Linked DNA regions of Drosophila melanogaster. The protein of the gene in region 2 interacts with the protein of the main gene of each other region in a pairwise test. Each region holds a gene or a part of one and is shown on either strand. Other genes may lie near its edges.

Region 1 (5,565 bases), 2.8 Mb from region 2:
GGCATGTCTGCTAATTTAATATCCGACCCAACTTTCATGTAAACCTCTCCATAACGAATGGATCAGGCTTTATTTTTAAACCATTTGCATTTGCAGACACCCACCGAAAGGTGATGCCCGTAGGTGGACTGTGGACCCCAAATGACTGTGACATGAAAAACACATTTGCGCGTTACGCCAGTGGGGAAAATGAAAGCTGGATTTTTCCTCGCCCAATGAGATTTGTTTTACAGGAATCTAATTTTCTGCCAGGACCAGAAGTGTTCTGGGCAACCACAGAATTTCCTTAAGCAAAATATTAACTAAAACTGCATGCGAAGTAAAATAATTTGGTACGCAGCCAACTGAAGTCTCTAGTAGGCACTGTTGCCGACTTAGCTCTTTTCCAATCAAATTTTCCTTTATTTCATATATTTTGATTTAGTTTCTGAACTGAATTCCAGCTGTTTTTTAAGGTATTCATATTTTCAAGTCAAAAATGTCTTTCTGTGTGGCAGCACTGCTATGAGTTTTCAGTTCAGCGGTAGATCTAAACCAATTTAACCTTGTGAGTAAACCAAACTGCAAATCAGTCATGGTAACCATCGAATTAATTGAACTATCTGATATTAAGTAGAAGAGATGCAAATTATTTTCATACCGAGAAGAACCTAAGGGCCAATACGTGAACACAGGATATTATTAACCCTACCTCACGCATTCATGTGTTGGCCTCTGACTACCAACCCTTTCCTTAATTTTCACTCTCATTTAGTTGTTTCTGGAATTAGTCAAAGGGATTATATCTCCAGGATTATATCATCCAGTGTTTTTAATCAGAACCTTGGCAATTTCCCCGAGAGCTCGATAAAGAAGATGCCCGTGTCAGATGGCAGACAAGATGGAGGCTTATTAATTAGCTGGAATGCGCATGAATTACGCATACGTCACGTGGCCCACGCTCACCCATCATCATCATCATCACCGGTCGGTTGCCACTGACAAATGACATCGCGTTTCGGCCACGTCAAGCCGTCAATTAATTGCTTTCGCCTGGCAAATTTACAGCCACTTGATATCTCGTAGACGCCGATCTTTTGGCCAGTTTATATTGTTATGGCCATCGCTCTGATGCCGTTAACACACAATACATCGATTAGGGTGTTCAGCTGGCGTGGCCAAGACACCTACTTATAGTTATCGCCGCCCACACAGACGCCACAAGGCGGCTTAGATGTGGGCGTGGCACTGGAGGCGATTGGCGGAATGGCTGGATGATTGGCCAGCTGGCTGGCCCACAATGATATACGAGACAATTGGGCGCCCGCATCCTGATCCCACTACCCTATGCAACTGAACAGTTTGAACATTTTAATTAAATTTTCATTGTTGACCAGCCACACAGGCAAAAAATTTGCAAGAAGCTAATCTGAGTAGAGGGTGAAATATGGTCTATACTATATTGTATTGATAGTGTTAGTGATTTACTGAGCATGGCTTACTATAAGTGGGTAATTGGATATAGGATCATCAAAATAAGGACATTCAAGTTCAATTAAGTTAAATCATATCAATACTAAACAGAATCGTTTTATTCTTGCAAGTGTCGATGTGTTGTATCTTTCACACACAGTTTTTAGAGTTAAAAGTTTCGTAAATAGGTAAACGGATGCGTAAATTGTTTCGTAAACTTTGCAGAATTGACAGCGACTATTTGTGACCCTAATCATTTCTTTCTGTGCTCCAAATTGGGCAGGGCCACGCAATCCTCACAATCAAATGGAGTTTGCCATGGTGAAGGCAGTGCGGAGTGGGCTGCTGGTAGGGCAAAAGGAAACAGCTCTGTTTTCCCGGATTTTTTCCCGCACCAACTCTTGCAGCGAATTGAAAAGTTGGACGAATGCTTAAAGGGCGAATAAAGCACCGGTAGCAACACTTCAGCAGCAGTGCCAATGTCGATGATGCCACTCAACGCCGAAGGCTTTGAAGTGGCCGTTCCGTCGGGGAACCCTTCACTTTGTTCGTCCTGACCGTCAAACTTTTTCCTCCATTTTCAGTTTAATTTTTTCTATTTTTTTTTTACTATATACCCATCAAGCGTAACAATAGCACCGCAGTAATCACTTAACGAAATGCTGGCCCAGATGACGGGGCGCCAGGTAGCGTGGCTAAATGCCACAAAGGACATGAAGGATGTGCGAGTAGCGAGTGGAATACCCACCTTGAAGGGCTTGCTGTTGTCCAGCTGGGCGAAATCCTCGTCGGCGGTGGTGGGCGAGGGCGTGGGCGTGGCGCTGCTGTGCGGCGATAGGGCCAACTCCAAGGTGATGCTATCCGCCGCATCGTCCAAACCATCGTCGGCATCTAACTCGATGTCCTCGCAGTCCGCGTCCAGTTCGGCCGTCCTTGTCAGAGTCCGCTGCCTGGGCGGCGGAGCCACTATTCTGCTATCAGGATCACACTGTACTCCTGCTGCAGCTGCTGCTCCATCGCTCTCCTTCTTCTGCTCCCTCTCCGGTTCCTGCTCCTCCTCAGCTCCTTGAGGCATTCCAGCCAGCTTTGTCTCATCCGCATTCATTGCTGTCATGTATTTACCTCGTCTCGAGAGTTTGTTCGCCTTGTCTGGACTCCTTGCTGCACTGGTTGAAAAACATGGTCGAAAGAGAAAGAGATTTATGACGAGCAAAACAAATTTAGACGATAATTGAAATATGCTGTATGGCATTCGGGGATGCTTTCAAAGCTGAGCCAAGCATACTAAAACTGCCAGACTTTGTGTTATTGTTATTTCATATACGCGTGTACGTTGTTTGCTTCGACCGGAAAATTTATAACGAAATCGTTGTTTGGCCTTTGTTTTGGCTTTGATTTAAAAAAGTTTTGCAATTGCTGAAATTGCTTGACCTTAAAGCCACATAGAAAACGAAGTTTATAGAGACCAAAAAAAAAAGAAGGAGACCATGGAATGTTATTGCATTACAATTTCACCATCGGCTCTTTAAATACTGTACATTTTTACCAACGACTTAAAAAAAATATCTACAAAATATTATTATTTTTTTAATTTTATATAGTAATGTAATTTGCACTATTTCAATTTTGGTGTCCTGTATTTGATAGTAAAGCTCCATATATGACGATGCAGAAACGTGTTTAGAGTTTTTCAAACGAATATAATTGGCCAACTTTTTTGTTTGGTAAAACTTCATTTAAATTTATAGAGGCAATTATAAGTCTAAAAGAATATAGTTTGCATGTGCTTGCTTGTTGTTTTTTATCATGAAAGCTAAACTAATTATTTTCCATAATTTCCACAAGCCTCTTTTAGACAAAAAGATAGTTGGTTTATATACTCTGAACTCTAGAAGCAACATTTTGTTTCTCATTACCGTGCACTTTAAGTTAAAAACCGAATTCTTCACATCTTCCGGCAACAATTACAATACGCGATTCTGGCTGAGATCGCGAGCCGACTACTCACAGCAGCCAAGTGCAACAAAAGCCGGCCGAACTTGGAATAAATTGCCAGACGTCTGTGCGTGCTGTATTTAAACGTGGCAGGACTCGTCGAGTTTGCCGACAGCCTCGGCCAGCGCAAACACACACGGCGCAAAGTCAGCAGGTCCTGCAAACACACAGCAAAGTCTAACCTTCGCGGAGCTTTGGCCGTGAGAGCAGGACACTCGCAAAGAGAGGCAAAGAGAGAGAGAGAGAGAGAGAGCGAGCGCTCTGTTAAGGCTCCTGTTAGCCAGGACACGCTGGGCGTGCCGGGCCAGAAGCATAGACCCTATGCCGGATAAAGTAAAGTTGGCACAAAAGAACTCTGGCCTGGGATCGGGATTCTATGACCTGGAAGGTGGGAAAAGTTTACTGGAGCAGCTGCAAATAGTTCTACTTAGCCGGGACCACAAGAAGATAAAAACGAATACAAACAGCACAGTGTATTTGCGGGGCGTGATGGCAAATATAAATATTTTAGCCTGAACTTTCAGGCGCTTAAGGGCAAAGTTTAAAAATGCAATAAAAATAAAGTTTGCAATTTCGGCGAAAAACTCTGGCGTCCAGCTGAAAAATGTCACTTCGGCATAATGAGACTGCTGCTGGCTGCATAATTAAAGCATCCCAGAGCTGGGCAAAAGTTTTCAACAAAGGTGCATTGCCTTTGAGGGCGAGACAAAAGCCGAGATTTATTGGCATTTGCATTGGCGGAATATTTAAAATGCATGAGACGCTGTACGTCGATCGAATTTGTTCGCATTGGGAGCAAACAAAGCCACTTAGCTGCATTTATCACAGCACTGGGCTTAAATGGCTGAAATATTGCGCATACGCCGCGTGAGCCAAGGTTAATTTGATTGCGCCCGCTTACGGAAGTTCGGCATTGAACATGGACTGAGCACGTGATTCCAACTGCAGTCACGTGATGGATAACAATATATCTGTGGGCCTGTTATCTCGTTTACGCATTTTGAGCCTGGTCCTTGTCCCAACTACCTGAAGTGCATACTTTAGGCCCAAGCGGATTCGGATTGCTGGGCGAATTTTGCACGCTCATCTGTTTATTCGCCCTGCTGGGCATTCATTTCCGTCCGCCATTTTCCATTTCCCATTTTCCCCCGCCGGCGGGTCAAATAATTTATGGGCCATGGTCCGCTAATTGCGCATTGAAGCGCGGCGCGAACAACTATTCGCATTTCGCATATGCAGCATGCTGGTCCTGCTGCAGGACCTCCATCGCCATCAATTTAAATGCATAGGTGCAAATTGAAATTTATGCGTCTGGTCGCGAAGGTAAATTCCCTTCATCATCAGCTGCCATGTTTAATTGCGATGCACGACCTTGGCCGTCTGGCCAGTTAGATTAATTAACTCACATGTCGTCGGAAAGGTCATGCCGCCGCATGTGGCGATGATAAATGGCCTCTGATCCTGGTCCTTGGATATGTGGCACTTTTCGCCAAAAACTCGTCAGGCGAAAAACACATAAGGCAGTGGTACGGGTAAATGCCAAATATTTGCGCCTGCTGTCAGCAGTCTAAATGAAATTAAATGGAAAAAAATAGCATTTCGATGCGGGGCAAACCAAAAATGTATAAAAGAAAATGGCAAACATTTTAATTAAATTAAAATAAATGTGAAATGGAAAATAATGAGAGAAAAAAAGCACTGGCATCGACCTTGCCGCCATGTAACAAGCAATTACATTTCCCCCCCTTAATGGCATACTTCATTATTTTGTGTATTTCCTGTGTAAGGATACCTACGTGCAACGGTCCTGGCCATAATTGGTTTAATGGCCAGCAAGCCTGTGCGTATTTGCACTATATCGGTTAATGGCTTAATAGCGCGGCTCTACATCAAACATGCAGTACAGTGTACAGTCGAACTGCTGCTCGACCTGCTGACATTCACCCAGTTGATCCGGCACTAGGTTGCCCTTCTCGGCGAGGCAATCGCTGATGCACTGGCTGCCCAATGGATGCGCCATCTCCCCTTGCAGCTCCTTTAAGCTGGCTGCCACATCTGCACCCTGCTGCTGCTGCTGCTGCTGCGGCGGCGGCGAAAGGTCAATCGCCTGTGCAGCCA
Region 2 (8,702 bases):
AAGTCGCTTTCTTATTCCACTTCTCGATTCCGTTTTACATTTAAGTTAGTTTTGGTTAGATGGGAGTACAGTGTTGGCTGATCTCAGCATAAGGTCTTAGGATCTAATTGCGCAGCGGAAGTTTCTAAATCGAATGCACACAGATCTAATCCAGGACACAGTGACTAGCAACGTAGACCAGCTACGTTTGCAATGGACTACCTATGACGACCCTTTCTGAATAGCAATCCCAAGTGGGAGATGCCTTAACAATAAGAACTCAAGTCTGCAGTAAAAACAAGTCTAAGTGACATTAACAAAACAAGTCGAACAATGATGTTATAATAATTTTCAAATATCAACTATAAAGTATAAACTAGGAGCATAATATATTCAAACAATTCAGAGAATGTTTAGGTTCATTGGTTAGTTTACCCACACTAAAACGTACGTGCTTCCTTTCGATAGTATTATATTCATTACGTTGGCACATCCATCGCCTAAACCTTCCATGTCCTTGCCAAGAATCCTCCAACCCAGTGCTCTCTCAATTTATCCCGATTGCTTGATACCCGTATGGAACAGTCAAAGTTCTGGAAGTCGAAAGCCTAACCCAACGAATGTGGATGCAGGTGCGAATGCTAATGGCGATGTTGGCAGTGTTTTCGCTTTTACGCATTTTTCAATTACGATTTCGATTGCGATCGTGTGATGTCTTCTGATACATACTCCCAATGGATCTACGGCTGATTCTGTCGGCCATGCGGGGGCGGTCTTTATCTACTACACATAATTTTTTAGTCTGTCGTCAGGCATTTGGCGAGCATCGAGCATCATCGAGCGTCTTGCTTATTGTTTCTATTCTCTGTGTTTAATTTTAACATTGTGCGCGATTTGTTGAACGTTTGACAACACTACAAATAACGGCAGTTTTACATGCTGATGCGGATGATTTCCGGAATTTCTTTGGGGGCAGAAATGCAACAAGATTAACAAAGAATAGGCCACTAACAGAGAGTTACGCTGTCCAGGAACTATACAAATGCGGGTTGGGGGTTCGTTAAGCAAATTAAAATGAGGAACTCACTACATAGGAAAAGAGAGACCGACCAACTACAATTAGACCCCGCGTCATCATCGTTTTTCTGGCAACAACATTTTATAGTCTCTGTTATCTATATCTCTTTCACAACTTATAGTCTTTGGGGTTAGATTAGATTTCCTGACTCGAGTGGCAGTCTGTTTGTGGGGCTATCCAACTAAATAAGGCTATTTTGGCACACAATCACAACGGAACACGGAACATCTATTGTACAACAACGATAACAACACAAGGATGGCTGATTTGGGGGCTTGCAACTGATCTGTGGGCTAAATTTTGGGGCGTTTGAATTGAATTTTGCGAATTCAGAATTCGTTAAGCTGGCTGCAGACGGTGCAGTGATATTCTTCGACGTCTCCAACCAGCCATGCTTCTGATTTATGGTAACGTCGGTCCCCGTCAATGAGAATATTGGATAAATGCTACAAAAACTGCTCTTAAGTGGTTCGCGCTTGTTGCTGTTGTTGTGGGCATGGGTGTATGTGTTTCTGGGTGTGTGGCTGCTTTGCTTTCGCCTTTTTATAATTCACGTTTACGCTTACTTCACTATTGTACAATGTGCGACTTGCATTATTATATTCTCGTAATTATTTTATATAAGTATATATGTATATATGTATGCATGTTGGTGTGTGTTTGTGTGTGTGTTCTTGTGTCGAGCTGCTGGGCTACTCTTATTTTGGGTTTTTCCATTTTTTCGTTTTGGTTTCTGTAAAATGCGCTAGTTTATTGATACCTTCTGTGGCGCCCAACGTGGGACAGTCATGAACCTGTGGGTTTGCCCGTCTGCCTGTCATTGGCACTCTAAATTCTGTCCTCCTCATCCTCTTCCTCCTCCTCCTCGACCTCCTCGCCGTTCTCCTCTAGCTCCTCCTTGTAGCCAGGATGCTCAGAGATGGCATAGTAATTGCCATTGTAAATGACGCCCAGTTCGCGCAGCGCATCGCCGCGTATTGTCGCCTTTATCGTCCAGTTGTAGCAGTCGTCTGACTCGGACTCGCGATCCAATCGCTCCACGTCAAGGATCTTGGAGTTGAGGCGTTCCAGTATGATGCCGATGTCCTTGATGCTGAGGTGACGCTTCTGGTCCACCGACAACTGGTCGATCAGCAGCAGAAACTTCTCCGTCGTCGTCTTGTCGTCCTCCATCACCGTGTTCTCCGTTTCGCTCTCGGAGCTATCCCGCTCGGGAGCGATGTCCAGGAATCGCACATGGCCCTTGGCGCCCGAGGAGCGGCGTTGCATGCTGCCGCTTCCGCCGCCACCGCTGCCGCCCAGCATAGGATCCATAACCGATGGTGCCGACTGCGGCTGGGGACTGCTGCTTCCGTCCTGGATGGGCGACGTGGCCACGCTCTTGTGCACAGCGATCTTGCGCCCCTCCTCGTGCAGCGCACAGCAGTGGAAGTCGCACTCGGTGGTGCTGGGACTGCCCGCCCTGCTGGGCGTGTGGGCGTGGTGGGCGCATTCCGGCGTGTGCACATGGACAGCTCCCACACCCACGCCTACGGTGCTGTCGAAGGAGCTTCCCTGCTTGGAGAGTCGCCTGCTGCCGCCGGGTATCACAACTCCTGGCGGCAGAACAACGCCACCGGGATGGTATATGCTCGCCGGTCCGTCGTCGCTGATCACCGTTATTTGAGGGCTGGCATAGCGCGGCTGGGAGGACTGCGACGACACCGACTTGTTGTCCAGCGAACTCTGCGCGGAGAGGCCCTTCTTTGAGGGCGAGTACTTATCGGACGACAGCAGCCCATTGCTGCTGCCCAGGCCGGAGCACATGCTCCCCACTCCGCCGCCGGCGCCACCGCCTCCTCCTCCGCCGCCGCTTCCTCCACCCTGCCGCTGATCCCAGTGCAGAACGACCGTGACACGCCCTTTGTTATCCATGATCTTCCACGACGGTGTCTCATCGTGCAACTCCAGCGCATGAATCGTCTCACAGACGATTTTCGGTATAGCTGATATGGCTGTAAGAAAAATAATAGAATGAGATCCGAACCACTGAGAAATCCCAACTGAAGTTCAGTACGGAATGATGAGAAGGTCAACTATCGCCTCAAAAAATAGCTAATACGATATTCACTTAAATAGACTTGTATAAGAATCGGACGACCATGTTCTTGAAATTGTAATGACTGTCATTTAAATCTCTAAATAGCATTTTTCTTTTGTTTAATTTTTACGTCTTACGTTTTTGTTTACAATTCAATGCTAGCAGCGGAAATCTTAATAGCTTGCCAACGCATTAAAAACATGCTGAAATTTATTGCATTCAAGATCCAATGTGTCTCAAAACAGAGGATATAGTCCAAAGAATTGTTTAAATTTCTGTTCTTTAGAAATTGAATAAGTTCAGCCAACTATAAAAAGAATTTAAATTCATTCGCAAACAATTGACCTTGAAATCAATTCAAACAAGCCACATTGAAAGTTGTGCTAAGTACTAAAGTAAATGCTTGCTCTATGAATTAGTTATTCAATTTGAATGAAATTGAAAGAGTCTTTGATCAAATATCGAAATAGACTTTTTGCAAATATTTAGCTATAAGGGTAAGGCTCATAATTTACGCAGTGATAACTTATTTGAATTTAATATTGAATCTAAATGAATGTTTCCTCTGACCAGGTCTAAATCTATAATTAAATTTCCCGTGGCCAGTACTGATCCCGAGATGGGAGTGAACTTATTACACCCACCAGCCTTTATGACATCGACGCCAGTGGGATACCAGCGCTCGCCCTGCCTTAACAGCAGCAGCACCGTATTGTTGGCCAGGGTGCGAAAGTATTCGCCATCCTCGATTTGGGTTCCATCACACTCCAGAACAACGCGCACCGGTTCTGAAGCAGGAACCCCCAGCTTATCCTTGCCGCGGACCAAGAGCTCCTCGAAGGTCCCAACTACGACGCCCTTGCGCACATTCCGCCAGCTGTCCCAGATTTTCAGTGGTCTCTTGCCGCGAGACTCCTGCGAAGAGAAATTCGGATTAGTTGCGTTTTACGAATTACAATTCCAACTGCTGGCGAAGGAAGGGAAAGTGAAAGCTGAGATGTGGGAGGATGGGGATGTGGGATGTGGGATGCAGGGTGCAGGGTGCAGGATGGGCGTGACACCTGTGAAACGCTGCGCACGAAAAACTGACAAGTGGGTGTGGCAGCAGGCCCGGACTGTGTCATAATTTCCTCAGCCCGCTAATTGGGCTTCTCTGGCTTGGCCAAAAAGGGCGCAAATGTCAAGGCCACAACTGCTGCACTGCTCATATTAATTGTAGATATCTTATGGAATAAAAGTTGAAATAAATCCACGGCCCTCACATTCGAAATAAAGCAAATGCAAGTGCTAATGCTTGAAAATGGAAACATATATGTACATATAAAAAGGGCCAAAGAAAATTGAAAACGAATCCTTTTGGCTAACAGCGCGCACAGCTGTTGGCTAACAGTTGCAGGCAACAACAACAACGACCAGCCAGCCAGCCAGCCAGCCGAGCAGGACGAAAGCTGCAATGTTTAATGTATTGCAAGGACATGAGTGTGGCGCTCCAGTGACCCAGTAACGAGTGCAGCACACGAGCCATATACAAATATCTCTCTTCGGCCAACCAAGCCCCCAAATCCCCCGATCCACCGATCCCCCAGTTCATTCCCCGCCCGTTCACCCAAAATAAAATGTTTGAAAAATTACAAAAAATTCATGTTGACATTTTGCTTATTCCTCCGCACCGAAAACAAGCAGAAACTTTTCATAAAAATATTTCATTTCCCTCGCTCTGGCCAGTGTTTTGTGTGCTCTACTCGCCGCCTCATCCCTCTCCATCCAAACCATCGCACCGATTTTCCTCTTGGGATAGGTCAGTTGCTGCACCCCAGCACCATATGGCACCGAGGGAGTGCAGCGGGTCGGGGATGTGCTGGCTATTATAAATTATGAAACTGATAATACTATAAACAGCGAGCACTGCCAGTTCTAAGGCTCGATAAATCATATTATGCCGTAAAACAATTGTTGGAGAACTGGTTGAATATCGTAGCACTTTAAGATTGTGTGACTTAGCTTTAAAAAAAGGGGAAACTTTAGAAAACAAGTGGGTAATAGTACCTAAAGAAAATGTATAACATACGCTAAAGGTGATGCTTTATCTTCCCTAAGTAAAATAGTAAGATATTTCATTTCATGCAAGAAAAGAGGCAAACCAACCACCAACAGGTTGAATAATTTCAAATGAATTTCCAAAAACCATTAAACTAGTTATTGAGCAGTATTGCCCAACAAGCTATTCGATTAACCAGTGTGAAATGCATTTGAGGAGGTATTTAGAATTGGAGGTGGAATTGGAAACCAAACTGGATAAAGGACGGAATAGATTGAGTTTGATCTAGAAATGAAGGACATTTGCAGTCGATGAAAGCTAAACACTGAATAAGTATGGGTCGCAAAGCGAAACTATTACCATTGCGGACAGTCCGCCGTTTGTGACCGACGACGAGGGCCCCGTTGTGATGGCCCCACCACCCACTCCGGCCCCACCCGCCGCCGCGGCAGAGGCAGCTACGCCCTGCGTGGCCTGGGCCGCCGCCGCAGCTGCGGCTGCCACTTGTCTGATGCTCAGACAGTTGCAGAGCGGCTTCGTCACGCCCAGCGTGCACAGGGCGTTGGACCACATGGTGGTGCTGGTGGTGCTGTTGGTGGTGCTGCTGCTGCCAGCCACTTTTAGGCCGAGTCTCTGCGCTGGCTCTGCTGGCTTGCTTGCAATGGTTGGCCTCGTCGCTTCCAAGGTCGTCTTACACTTGGAGCTCCAAGCTCTGGTAATCCATGTCCGTTTTAAAAATCCGTTATATAAACCCGTAACCGATGTACGCCTTACAAAATCCGGAGTTGCGGATGCTTTTACCAAAAGTTCTACAAAAATTAAAGCTTATTGCTTATTGTTGGAGTCATAAATGCCTTGCGTTCAGGGGGAAAATTCGTAATTACAAAAATTGTTAAGGGGGTCACGAAAAAAAAAACGCACTTTGCACAAAATACAGCTTCTGGTATAAATGTTATCGTCCACGTTATTTGGTTACTTTAGTTTGTTGTAAATACTGGCAGAGTTGAAGTGCCTAGAATTTCGCTTTTCACTGCTCGTACTTCGCATTCGCATTCGCATTCGTATTTTTGGGGCAGGTCAGGGCGGGTTGACCTTCGCACTTTCACTTTACGGATACTACGCGCCTGCAGCGCCCTTTTGCCCGTGAAACCGCCGAGTTTTCATTTTCATTTGATGCTGAGTCCCAGTTATTAGACTTAATTATAGCTCGTTTTTAGAAACTTGATTTTGTAGAAAAACGCTTGATTTGTTTAGTTATAGCACCCAGTGGGAACGTGGTGTTTCCACGGGCCAAAGCAGCGTCCTTAGCTGCCTGTGTGCCTGGCAGCCTGGCAGAGCAAACTGTGAGTTTTCCCGACGAGATGCTGCATCGGATTTCACTACGGTAGCAGCTGCTGCTTCTGCTGCTGCTTCTTCTTTGACTTTTGGGGCTGGGTGCGTTTTTGCAGCGCGTTAACAGCGCTTGAAATGAGCACGAGGCATAAGCGCGAGAGAAGTGCAGTGAGAACGAGGTGAAATGCAGCACAAAGCTTTGCGAGAGCGAGTAGGACAGGTGGAGGAGTGGGGGTAGAAATCCCGTTACTACTATCTAGTCAATTTAATGCCTTCAGTTTTTAGGTCCCCAATTAAACCGTATTTGTTTTATCCACCCCACTATTTCCCATTTACTACCTTTTTTTCCATAATTTTCGATGTTTTAACAGGTAAAGATATTTCGTCGTGCTTTGGCCTACATTTGCATCAATGTGATATAATCAGGACGCCAAAGCGCGCGCACCTTCTCCCTCGAAACGCTTTACCAGCATTTCATAAGATCCCATCAGTTTGATTTTGTAAACATTTACTTCCAATCAACGGCGTTCAATTAATAGTGTTGCTATTGGATTGTGTGCCCCAGGAAAATATTTAGCTTTCTTTTAGACCTGATCTTGCTCGACATTTAAACTCTAGCATTAAACATTGAAGTCTTTTAATAAAAAGGGTGAGACAGAGAGAGAGTGATGCACTTTTATATGAAGCTCTCTACCTCTCGCAAAAGCATTGCCAGCTGTAAATGTGAATGGATAACAGAGCACTAAAACTCCTGTAATTGCTGCTGGCCGAGATTTTTAATTGCAGTAAGAAGAAGGAGAGATAAAGTTGTTTTGTTTATCCTAAATAATGCCAGATCAACTGCCAACTGAAAGCCATCTCGGCTGCATTTTTATCAGCTCTTAAAGGAATTCCAGCGCTTTGGGAATTCGCAACTAATTTATTTTTGGAGACATCCTCTCAAAGCAACAATTTTGGAAAGGCCAGAGAGCGAAATTCCTTTCAAAGGGGGCGCGAGAAGAGGAAGAAGAACAACAGTTGCAGCCACACGTGGGATGGAGGCGGCGGGAAAGGAGGGCGTTGGGGGAGTGGCACATCTGTGAGGCGTAAGTATTACCTCAGTTATTTGGGTCAAAGCTATTCACTCACCCGCAAAGCAAAACGAAACGAAGGAACTGCATAAAACATGCACAAACACACACACATATGCAGAGCAGGAGCTTGAGGGACACGCACACAAAGAGACTAATGCGGGCCACAGGCTTAATAGGTTTCTCTAGCGGATGCGGACGCGAGTGCGGAGCATCCGCAGCGATACGCCTTGCTAGATACACTCGCCAAAGGTTGTCATATGAAAAATTCACATAGATGGAGCAGAGTGCCTGTAGTTTAGGCCAGGCATGAATCGTATCCATTGCACCCATACTCAAGCAGCAAAATAAAAATTTGCCTAATCTTCTCTAGAAGTTGATTTATTCATGCATCCTGTTGTGTTGCTCTATAAAGAACCTATCTTTCGTTCAGCTGACCACGTAAAGAACAAAATATCTACAAAGACCAAGTCAAAGAAATATTAAAATATATTATAAATTTTACTTTGTTCAAATTGCATGTTATTAAAAAAAATCTATTACCTAGTATTATTTTTGATTATTTTGTTTCTACTGCTTAATTAAAAAATTCATTCCTACAGAGAATAATTATTTGTTACACGCAGCATTTTTATTATTAAGTTGTAGTGTTGGGTTAAACTTCTTTGGAAAAATATGACATAGGGTTAACTGTTTTAATGTTGGGAGAGGCTAACACCGTTGGTTGCAGATGTGAATGATGGGGGATGGTGATGAAGTGAGAACAGCTGATTTTGGCAAAGTAACTTGCGGTACCGTGGTGATCGGGAAAACTAAAACGGTTAAGCCGTAGTTGCCGGCTTTGCTTTGCTTTTAGCACGTTTGCACTTACCTCTCTGGCCATTACGACATGTTATCACCAGCGGCACCCGCTTAGAGGGTCTGCCATTTGCTCAGCGGCAATAACAACAAAAACAACACGGGAGCGCCTCTTAGAGCGAGGGAGTGGGAGAGGCAACAACAAAGCACACGCTTTTCGCGATACGAGAACTCTCGTGCGTCTACTTAAGTATGTGTGTGTGTAGGCGGCAAGCGGTATAGACGGAGAGACAGAGAGAAAGAGTGTGGGAGGAGTGTGTGCGTGTG
Region 3 (8,610 bases), 2.7 Mb from region 2:
TCCATGCCGTATGCATGCAAACTGCTCTTCCAGGAGTTGACCAGCATGAATGTGGTGCCGAAAATGATTTTGGAAAACTATTAACGATGCAATGGCCTGAAACCGAATAAAATAATTGTTATATAATAATAATGGTTAATGATGGAAACTAGCTTAGGTTTTCCAATATTTTTGTAAAAACGAATGGTGTGTGAACTCTGGCAAGGGCAAAAATCCTACGCATTCATTAAGTTTCCATGACCGCGAGCTGCAAATGTCAAAATGAAGAGGTTCAAACGAAGTCAGCGAAAGAAAGTCCTCTTGAATTTTAACGAGGTCCTTTTGCATATCAGCTTTCTGTTCGTTAACAGGCAGACGCAAGCTGTTACTGAAAAGGACTGAGCCGTGTTAAATCGCTTATGTTATCCTTTTTTTTTATTGCGCAAAGGATAATTAGTTGTGTCTGCCCTTTTGGCCGAATTTAAAACGTCTGTGTCTGGACAAAAGATTAAGTTGTTAAGATGAAATGTTTTTTGTTATTCTGTTTCTTTGTTTGCTCTTTGTCCTTATAATCCTCTATCTTATGTGTATTTTGTTTTTTGGCTCAGTTAAACTAAACATTCTCGAGCGGCTTGATGCTTCTTAGTAAAACCAATATCGCCAGGCGTTGATTTATTGTTTTCCCTCGATATTGCCTATTGCCTGATTGCCCGTGAGGCAATTACCTGTCACCTGGCTTCGAGGTGGAGCTCAACCCAGATTCCGGCCGATGTGTCAACGTGTCCGTGGTCAATGCACCGCGGTGCATGCACGTGACCTGCGAACTGCAGGCGACACAGCCACCCACACAAGCCAATGTCCTTGTGCGTCCTTTCGAGTGACCTGCGCTTAAAATAGTCACAGCTACCACCCACTGCTGCTTCTCCTCCGCAGGACACGTAGAAGTTACTATGTGCAGTGCAATGACAGCAAACGGGGCAAACTGCCAGCAGCAGAAGCAGCATCAGCATCCGAGGAACCAATGGTGCGCACTAGGATGACAATTTAAGGCTGCCCCATCTCTGATCTCCCCCATACTTGCATGCCCACCTCTTTTCCGGGCTATTCAGTACCGTTTTATACGTGGAAAAACTTTTGAGAATTATATAAAGTTAGTTGATATTCGTATGACTAAAAGAAAACTACTCATTCCTATTTATACCTACATACCTTTATCCTTTATGGAATCCATTTGCTCAATTAGGCGCTGATAAGTATGCAATAAGTTATAGTTTTTATTAGTTTTTAGTATCATAACAGAATCTTTATTTTTCGCCGTGCACAAACTGATGAGAACCCAATCTGGGGCCACCTTCCGGCTTTGGCTTTCCTTTCATGTATTTTGGCCATTTGTCAAAAGTTTGCTTTTTGCTCTTCTTATCTGGACGGTTCGTTGATGTGTGCATGGCAATAGATGTATATAGATTTAAATGGGTGTTGGCCACTTGTGTAGAAAGTTAAGCGTAGTCCAACTGCTCTTTTGGCCGGGTTCCAAGCGGGCGAGGGGATTTCGAATTGACAACACCGGATATCATTGGGCTGATAATGCGCAACCCCTCCCAATGGACTAATTGAATCCGAAAGCACCTTCCGATGGAAATAGAGATTAGATTGCTGGAATCACCTTAACTTTTCAGCCAGGATTGTTCCAGCAAACTCTTTGTGTTTTCTAGGGACTAGGCCACAGCCAAATGTTAACATATTCAGCGAGAGAGAACGTGTTTTTGACTATGTTTGTTTTCTCTTTGTAAGCTTTATGTTTCAATATATTTAAAATTCTAATCTGTTTAGTGTTTTCTTTTAGAAGCACATTATTACCTATTTTACAAAAAATTGATACAATATTAATTAATTAAATAACCAAAATCTACAGGGAATAATTTATAAAAAAAAAAATATAAAAAAAAAAAGTGTTAGGCTTCAAAAATATGTTTACTTATCATGATTAAAAAGAAACATGGCCAATAGGACATAAAACAAATATTATTTGAACCTATCAGTTAACATTCATTTAAAAGCGAGCACTCGCAGTTCGAACTCAACATCTGTTAGAAGCCCTTTCTCTGCGTATAAAAGGCAGTGCTTTTGAGCAAAACGCGCTCATTTCAAAACCGGTGCTCATCGCAACGAAAGCTCCGCTGCGGAGCCGAGAAAATATTGTTAATTCCCATTTGAAGTGCAGCTTGTGGAAGGAAATTCCAAGTTTGTTTGTTCGGACGCCGAGTGCAAGTGCAAGAAGCAAGCGAAAAGTAATCAAATCTATAGAAAAGTCATTTAATGTGGAGCAATTAAGCCTGGAAATAAAGTGCATAGTGAATAAGTAATTTAGTTGGAGCAAACAAAGCCATGGAGACTGCAGCGAACTCGGGCGACTCCAAAAAGCCTTTCAAAGTGAGTTCCCCCTGTAATTGTAAATGGAAATAAAGGCCGCAGACGAACAATTGCATTTTAAGTGCATGCATTATTTTCCTGGCATGTCCATTTTTGGGCGTTGTTGTTTTCGCCTTTGTTGTTGTTGGCCGCGTGCTGCGTTCGCTACTTTTTTTCCTTTTTTTTTGGATTCTTATGGAAACTGGGTTGAACTTCAGAACTCAAGAGAGCCAAAAGCTCAAGCTAAGAGAGTGCCGAAAGCTCAGTAATAAGCATTAACTGCCTGAAATTTGACTTTGCAAATTCAAAAACACTATTTAGTTGCTTTCTTTCTCTTTGTCCTTTTTTTTACATGTTTGTCTAGCTTTGCATTTGCCTTTTGATTCGAGTATTGGGAATTGTTTGCCTTTAGCATTTGTTTTACTTGACTGCTGGGCCATTGTTTCCTGTTTAATTTGTTTATCTGCCGCTTAAACAGCAGAAAGCTGTTTAAAGTATTATGGGGATGTAAAAAACGTGCTTAAGGTTGCAGAAAACCACTGGAAGTACATGCAGCTGACAACTCAAAGGAAACCAATAAACCACAAAGCTATTTAAATTGTCTGTGAAACACAGAAAACAACTTTCGTAAAACATGACTGGAGATAACATCCAGGAATTCCCTCCCCCACTTTATCCATTAAAATGCCGCTCCTTATTAAAATATTTAATTCAAAAACCACCAAACGCAAATCGGCTTAAAAGCTGTCAAATACCATGACAGCCATGAAAATGCCATTAAAAAGGGAAAACTTTTCATCCCGACATGTCGCTGTAATTAGCCAACAGCCACGCCCACGACCCGCCTCAGGCATTTTGTTAATAATTTATTAAACAATCTACATAATGCCGCGGCATAGTTCAAAAGCAATTTAAAGTTGTCGCCTAATTTCCCCAGCGACTCGAAAATCTGCGGCCTACGCCCATCAAATATTAAAATGTCCTGCGACTTGTGGATTCTGCCCGCATCTTGGATGCAGATGATAGAGTTCCTGGCACGTCTCCTTCGGCTGCTCCTAAAACGGAGCCAGACGCCGGAGGTCGTTGCACGTTCATCTACGTACGTATGTGTGGACCAGGACCCTCGGGTCCTGATGGCTGAGCAGCTCGAGTTAGTTGAGATTTATAAGCCCTCAACTCGCTGCTGCTCTACCAATTTGCCCAAGTCGTTTTGCATACACTTTTGTGTATAAACTGGTCTTCTAGAAAAACACTTAACTGATTTCATCTAGACTTTCACATACATTAGCCTGAACTTGTAGTGATGCTAGTTTGGAAATTTGTATCTTAAACAGTAGCAAGTAGGTAACATTTGTGTTTGCTCATTTCAATATTTAAATATTATTCTTATATTTAAATATTAAAAAATAAAGTTTTACTTACCACGATGTGCCAAAAATTTGCTCTTAATGATATAACCTAATAGCATTTCCATTCAAGAAACAACTTGAAACACTTTTGAAACATGTTTACTTTCCGAATAAATCTTGTTTCTGATTTGTATAAGCTTTGTATAATTTTGCGGGTAATTAGATAAACTGCTAATTGAATTGCGACCGCTTGAAAAATCGACGCCACTTGAAAAATCAACTAATGCGATCGACTAAAACTTTTGACAAGTTTCCGAACAAAAACTATGCTTTTGTTTTCGATGCTGCCGCGACTCCCACTTGTCAAATGCGCCAGTAGTTGGGCAAAGTTTTCATTGTTACAAAGTTCTAGCCCCACACGCCGCATTCATGATATGATTAATATTTGGAGCTTTCGCGGCACAAAAGTTATGTGGCTTTAAGTATTTATAAGATAATTTAGGGACGACCTCCTCCGCTATCTGAGCAAATGGAATTGGGATGATAGAGCAGCTAGGCGCACGAGTAAAATGAAATGTTCGAAATGCAAACTCGAGTACAATTTCATTTAGTCACGGTGCTCTCAAATATTCATGAAGGACCTCAAGGAGTTGCACGCTGTCCGACGTTTCGGGGCTATAAATTCTGGGTGGAATGCATTCGTGCCGCTTGCTCCCTTAAAGTTGCGCCTCCTTGAGCCTCCATCTGGACGGGTCTAATTTATGTTTCGTTTAACCTTAGTGCTGAGGCATCATTTAACATCGCATGCAAGTTTAATAGAGCCAAAGGCTTGCGTCCTTCGTCCTTGCAACCGGCGAACAGCACTAACCTATGGCATTCGCGAAGGAGCATGCAGCATGAAGAATGCTGACATGCATAACTTGTCAAATAAAAAGAAAATTTAAAAGGATACGCCAGGGAATCGGGGAGTGGGAGATAAACGACAAATATTTGCACCGCAGCTGCTAGAGTGCATGTCAAACTGCGTTCGAGATCTCGAGCAAAAGTAGAGGAGCTCATGGAACTCGGCATTCGCAACTGAAATATGCACAAAGTCGTCGGGCTGTGGGAGGCACTTTAAGGTGGTGACATCCCCCACCGGGAAAAAGCCGTCCATAAATCTCAATTAGAGCAAATGGACATTTGACAGCAGGACATGACGTGGTCGCAAATATTGCGTTCATTTATTCATTGCGATTTTTCGGGGAATGGAAAACAATCAGCGTCGAAATGTGGTTGTGTATTTATTATTTAGCAACTTGCGCTACTATTTATCTTTTCTCTTTGTTTAATGGAATTTTCAAAGATTGCCTAATTAAATAACTATAAAAACAGGGTAAAGTTTGCGTTGAAAAGAGAAACAGACTGAATAATTAAGTGCAAGCGGGAGGATAATGAATAAATCAGGCGGAAAGTTTCCATAGTTTCTCCATTCCGTTCACGTTGTTGTCTCAAGAAAAAGGGTGCAGCTAAAGGAAAATTTACAACTTTTCCCATTTCGATGTTTTTCCGTTTTCTTATTTTGGGTGCCGACGATGTGAATATTTTATAGGACCTCAGTTGTTTCCCATCTGACATTAATTTATTATTCATTTGATGAGCGGGGCCATGTGTAACTGCTACTGTCTCCGTAATTGCAAACGTGTAATGGTTTATTATTCCCTTTTCCCGGCACTGTCCTTCTGCGTTTTTATGGCCAGGTCAAGGACGTAACACGCAACATTAAGAAGGCTGTCTGCGCCTCCAGTCTGGAGGAGATCCGCAGCAAGGTGGCGGAGAAGTTCGAGAAGTGCGACCACCTGCCCACCATCCACCTGGACTCCGACGGCACGGAGATCGATGATGAGGAGTACTTTCGCACCCTCGACGAGAATACGGAACTGGTGGCCGTCTTTCCCGGAGAACATTGGATCGATGTGAGTAGCCCTTAAATAAAAGGAAAAGGAAAACAGGCACTTAAAAATAATTATATCAGCACCTTTTTTATTTAAATCACCTCAATAAATTCGTTTTGCGATTGTGTAATTTTCATTTCTCAAAGTGAACACCGCTTAATTGGATAGCTCATTTTATGTGTCCCTCCTTTTATCTGCCATAATGACTAATTGCATTATTTCTTGAATGCCATGAAAGAGCTCCATGAGCATGGGACCAAAGCCAGGAAGATTAAATTAAATGCTATCTGCACTCTGTTTATAGCCCACTCACTACGTGACGATAACCACTCCACATGGCAACGAGGCAGGAACTGGAAACGGAGAGCTGAACGGAGGAGGCGAGGGCGACACCACCGATGCCAACAACTCGGAGTCGGCTCGCATCCGCCAGTTGGTGGGCCAGCTGCAGAACAACCTCTGCAACGTGTCCGTGATGAACGATGCCGATCTGGACTCACTCTCCAACATGGATCCCAACTCGTTGGTGGACATCACGGGAAAGGAGTTTATGGAGCAGCTCAAGGATGCGGGAAGGTGAGTTTAATTCCTTTCCCATATACCACTTAATTGTAGCATGATTTCATGACTTTAGGCCATTGTGTGCCAAGCGGAATGCCGAGGATCGTTTAAATCTGCTGAAGCTATTGAAAGCTGGTGCCATTTTCTGCTCGGAACGTTATCCCGAGGATGCGGAGGCCATTGACCGGGAGATTGGACGGCAGTTGAACGAGGCGGAGAGTGGACAGATGAGCACCACAACGACGAGCAACACCCGCACCATCGAGGTGGTGCAGTGCGACAATCAAAACACGACGATAACAATTACGGTGGGCGAGGCCACCACCACTTGCGCCACAGCCAGTGGAGCGATGGGATCCTCCGCTGCCGAAGCGGCTGCCAATGAGGCCAATGCCAATCCAAATAGAAATCCAAATGCCAACGGCGACATCTGACTGCCCATTTTGGGCAGTCTTAGGTAAAGTCTGCCGGCGGAAAACTAACGCAACTGGGTGCGCCAATCAAAATCAAGAGCCAAAAGGATATACCGAAGACATCAGTCCTGCAACATTGGGTTAACATAAATCGTATTTGTAGCATGTAATTAGGCACTGCGAAATCAGCAAAAACGAAACGGAGACGAAATCAAGTCATTGAAAATGCTTCATAGTATCTAAGAGCAAATGAAAGTTAACGAACAATACACGTACTAGATTTAAACACCGGGTCACGAGGCTCAAGAGAACAAGAGGCCCGCGCAGATTTGAAAAGTCTTTTAGCAATCACAGTCAGCGGAATCGTATTTAACCGCATATACACGAGTCACACCAAGCCGTACTAGATGAATAATAATCAAAGGTTAGCGAAATAAGTATTATACTTGAGGTAGAATCCCACAACCAGAGCGAACCCCAATTGGATGGAGTTGTCCCAGGAAACTGTTGATTTGCTTACCGTGTAAATTGTGTTACGAATAGTAGGTAGAGTGGAAACGCACATCAAATATTGTTTTTAGACCAATGCCATTGTGAATGTCATTCGTTAAAGGCCAATTGAGACTGACTGAATTTATGTGTAATAGGTTTTTTCGTGGTTTGAGCGGTTCGGGAAAGATCGGATGGAAGCCTCCAGCGCTGCTGCCCTGTCCTCCCAGAATCCCCGTCTTCCCGCCCCCGAATCCATAGCCAAATGAATTTAAGCGACAGCGCAAACATTGTTAGCTAATTAAACAATAATGGAACACAATAACGCAAATTGCAATTGCCCAATCAAAGTTGGTAACTGTAACTGTCTACAATTCGAATAAGCAATAAGGGAAACCGTAAACGTAAACGAAATCTAAAACCGAATGCAAACAGTGAACAATTATTAAATATAGTGAAAAGCATACAGTAAATGCAAGTGAAAACCCCGAGGCAAACTATATACACGAAACCAAGTAATAAATAAATGATTATTAAACTAAAGTTGATTGAACTAGCATAACTGGCAAACGGGGCGTATGCGCAACGCACAAAGCGTGTGCAACAGGGCGTATGGACTGCATCCTGCTCTTCCGCTGGCAAAAGAGAGTTTCCCCTTCCTTCACCGCTTCTTCCATTTCCCTTTTTTCCAGTTCGAGAGAGCAAGAGAGTGGGAGTCCTACACCTGCTGCTGCCATATAATTGCATTACTCGACGCCATTCTCTTTTGCCATTCAACTTCCTTCGTGACGTCACTGCACCATGACGTTTGCAGGTCCTGGCTAGCTGATTGCGATGGCCTACTAACACAGTTCAAAGCTCCCGGGTGACCCAAATTCGTGACGACAGCGCCCCACAGCAAGGGTCTCTTTGTGGGCGTGGCCCTGGCTTTGATGAATTGAATCCAGCGTCCTGTGGCCTTTGCATACTCAATATCCCCTACTAACACAGCACATCCCTTTTTCGGTTCCCATTCCTTGGCTGCTCTTTTAATTTGCGCCCTCGACGATTTTCATCCTGCTGGCAGGGGAAAAAAGAAAAATCATGGGGCGAAAAGTGCCCAAAAATATTAAAAATGTAACTGAAAATCGCTTTGACTGCTTTTGATGTGTATGATGGCATTTACGGTGGGCTGCCTGGCCAAGAAATTGTCACACACACTTGAGTTTGTAATTCTTTTGATGTTGTCCTGCAGATTAAGAGGAAGTGCCGGAAGAGGAAATGGAAACTTAATCGAAAGCAATCTGAGCTTCGAGCGAACCGATTTTGGTCCTTTGAATAAAAAAAGACTCTTATTGAAAATTATTCAGTAGTCAGGCATTTTATTTAACAAGTCTAGTACGAATAATTTAGATAAAAAGTTATACAATTAGTTAGAAAATTACGTTCAAGTAAAAATCTTAAGACTTCATTTCAAGTAAATTTTGTACGTTTGTT

The links. Proteins that work in one complex are often made in the same cells at the same time.
Region 1: the proteins of Drep2 (region 2) and Drep3 interact in a two-hybrid assay, tested with the Drosophila melanogaster proteins (2 studies listed by BioGRID).
Region 3: the proteins of Drep2 (region 2) and Drep1 interact in a two-hybrid assay, tested with the Drosophila melanogaster proteins (2 studies listed by BioGRID).

What each region holds. Positions count from the first base shown.
Region 1 is NT_033778.4:12,053,022-12,058,586, reverse strand, and holds the start of Drep3 (DNA fragmentation factor-related protein 3), read right to left. Parts: upstream 3,499-5,565; 5' UTR 3,369-3,498; intron 2,619-3,368; exon of another isoform or gene 2,614-2,618; 5' UTR 2,567-2,613; coding exon 2,201-2,566; exon of another isoform or gene 2,040-2,200; intron 1-2,039. Other genes in the region: CG44314 (uncharacterized protein), read right to left, coding at 5,318-5,565.
Region 2 is NT_033778.4:9,292,616-9,301,317, reverse strand, and holds the start of Drep2 (DNA fragmentation factor-related protein 2), read right to left. Parts: upstream 6,524-8,702; 5' UTR 5,749-6,523; coding exon 5,536-5,748; intron 4,053-5,535; coding exon 3,782-4,052; intron 3,052-3,781; coding exon 1,886-3,051; 3' UTR 1-1,885.
Region 3 is NT_033778.4:12,042,500-12,051,109, forward strand, and holds Drep1 (DNA fragmentation factor-related protein 1), read left to right. Parts: upstream 1-2,112; 5' UTR 2,113-2,364; coding exon 2,365-2,409; intron 2,410-5,476; coding exon 5,477-5,692; intron 5,693-5,975; coding exon 5,976-6,247; intron 6,248-6,305; coding exon 6,306-6,666; coding exon of another isoform or gene 6,667-6,693; 3' UTR 6,694-7,673; downstream 7,674-8,610. Other genes in the region: Polr3B (RNA polymerase III subunit B), read left to right, coding at 1-84.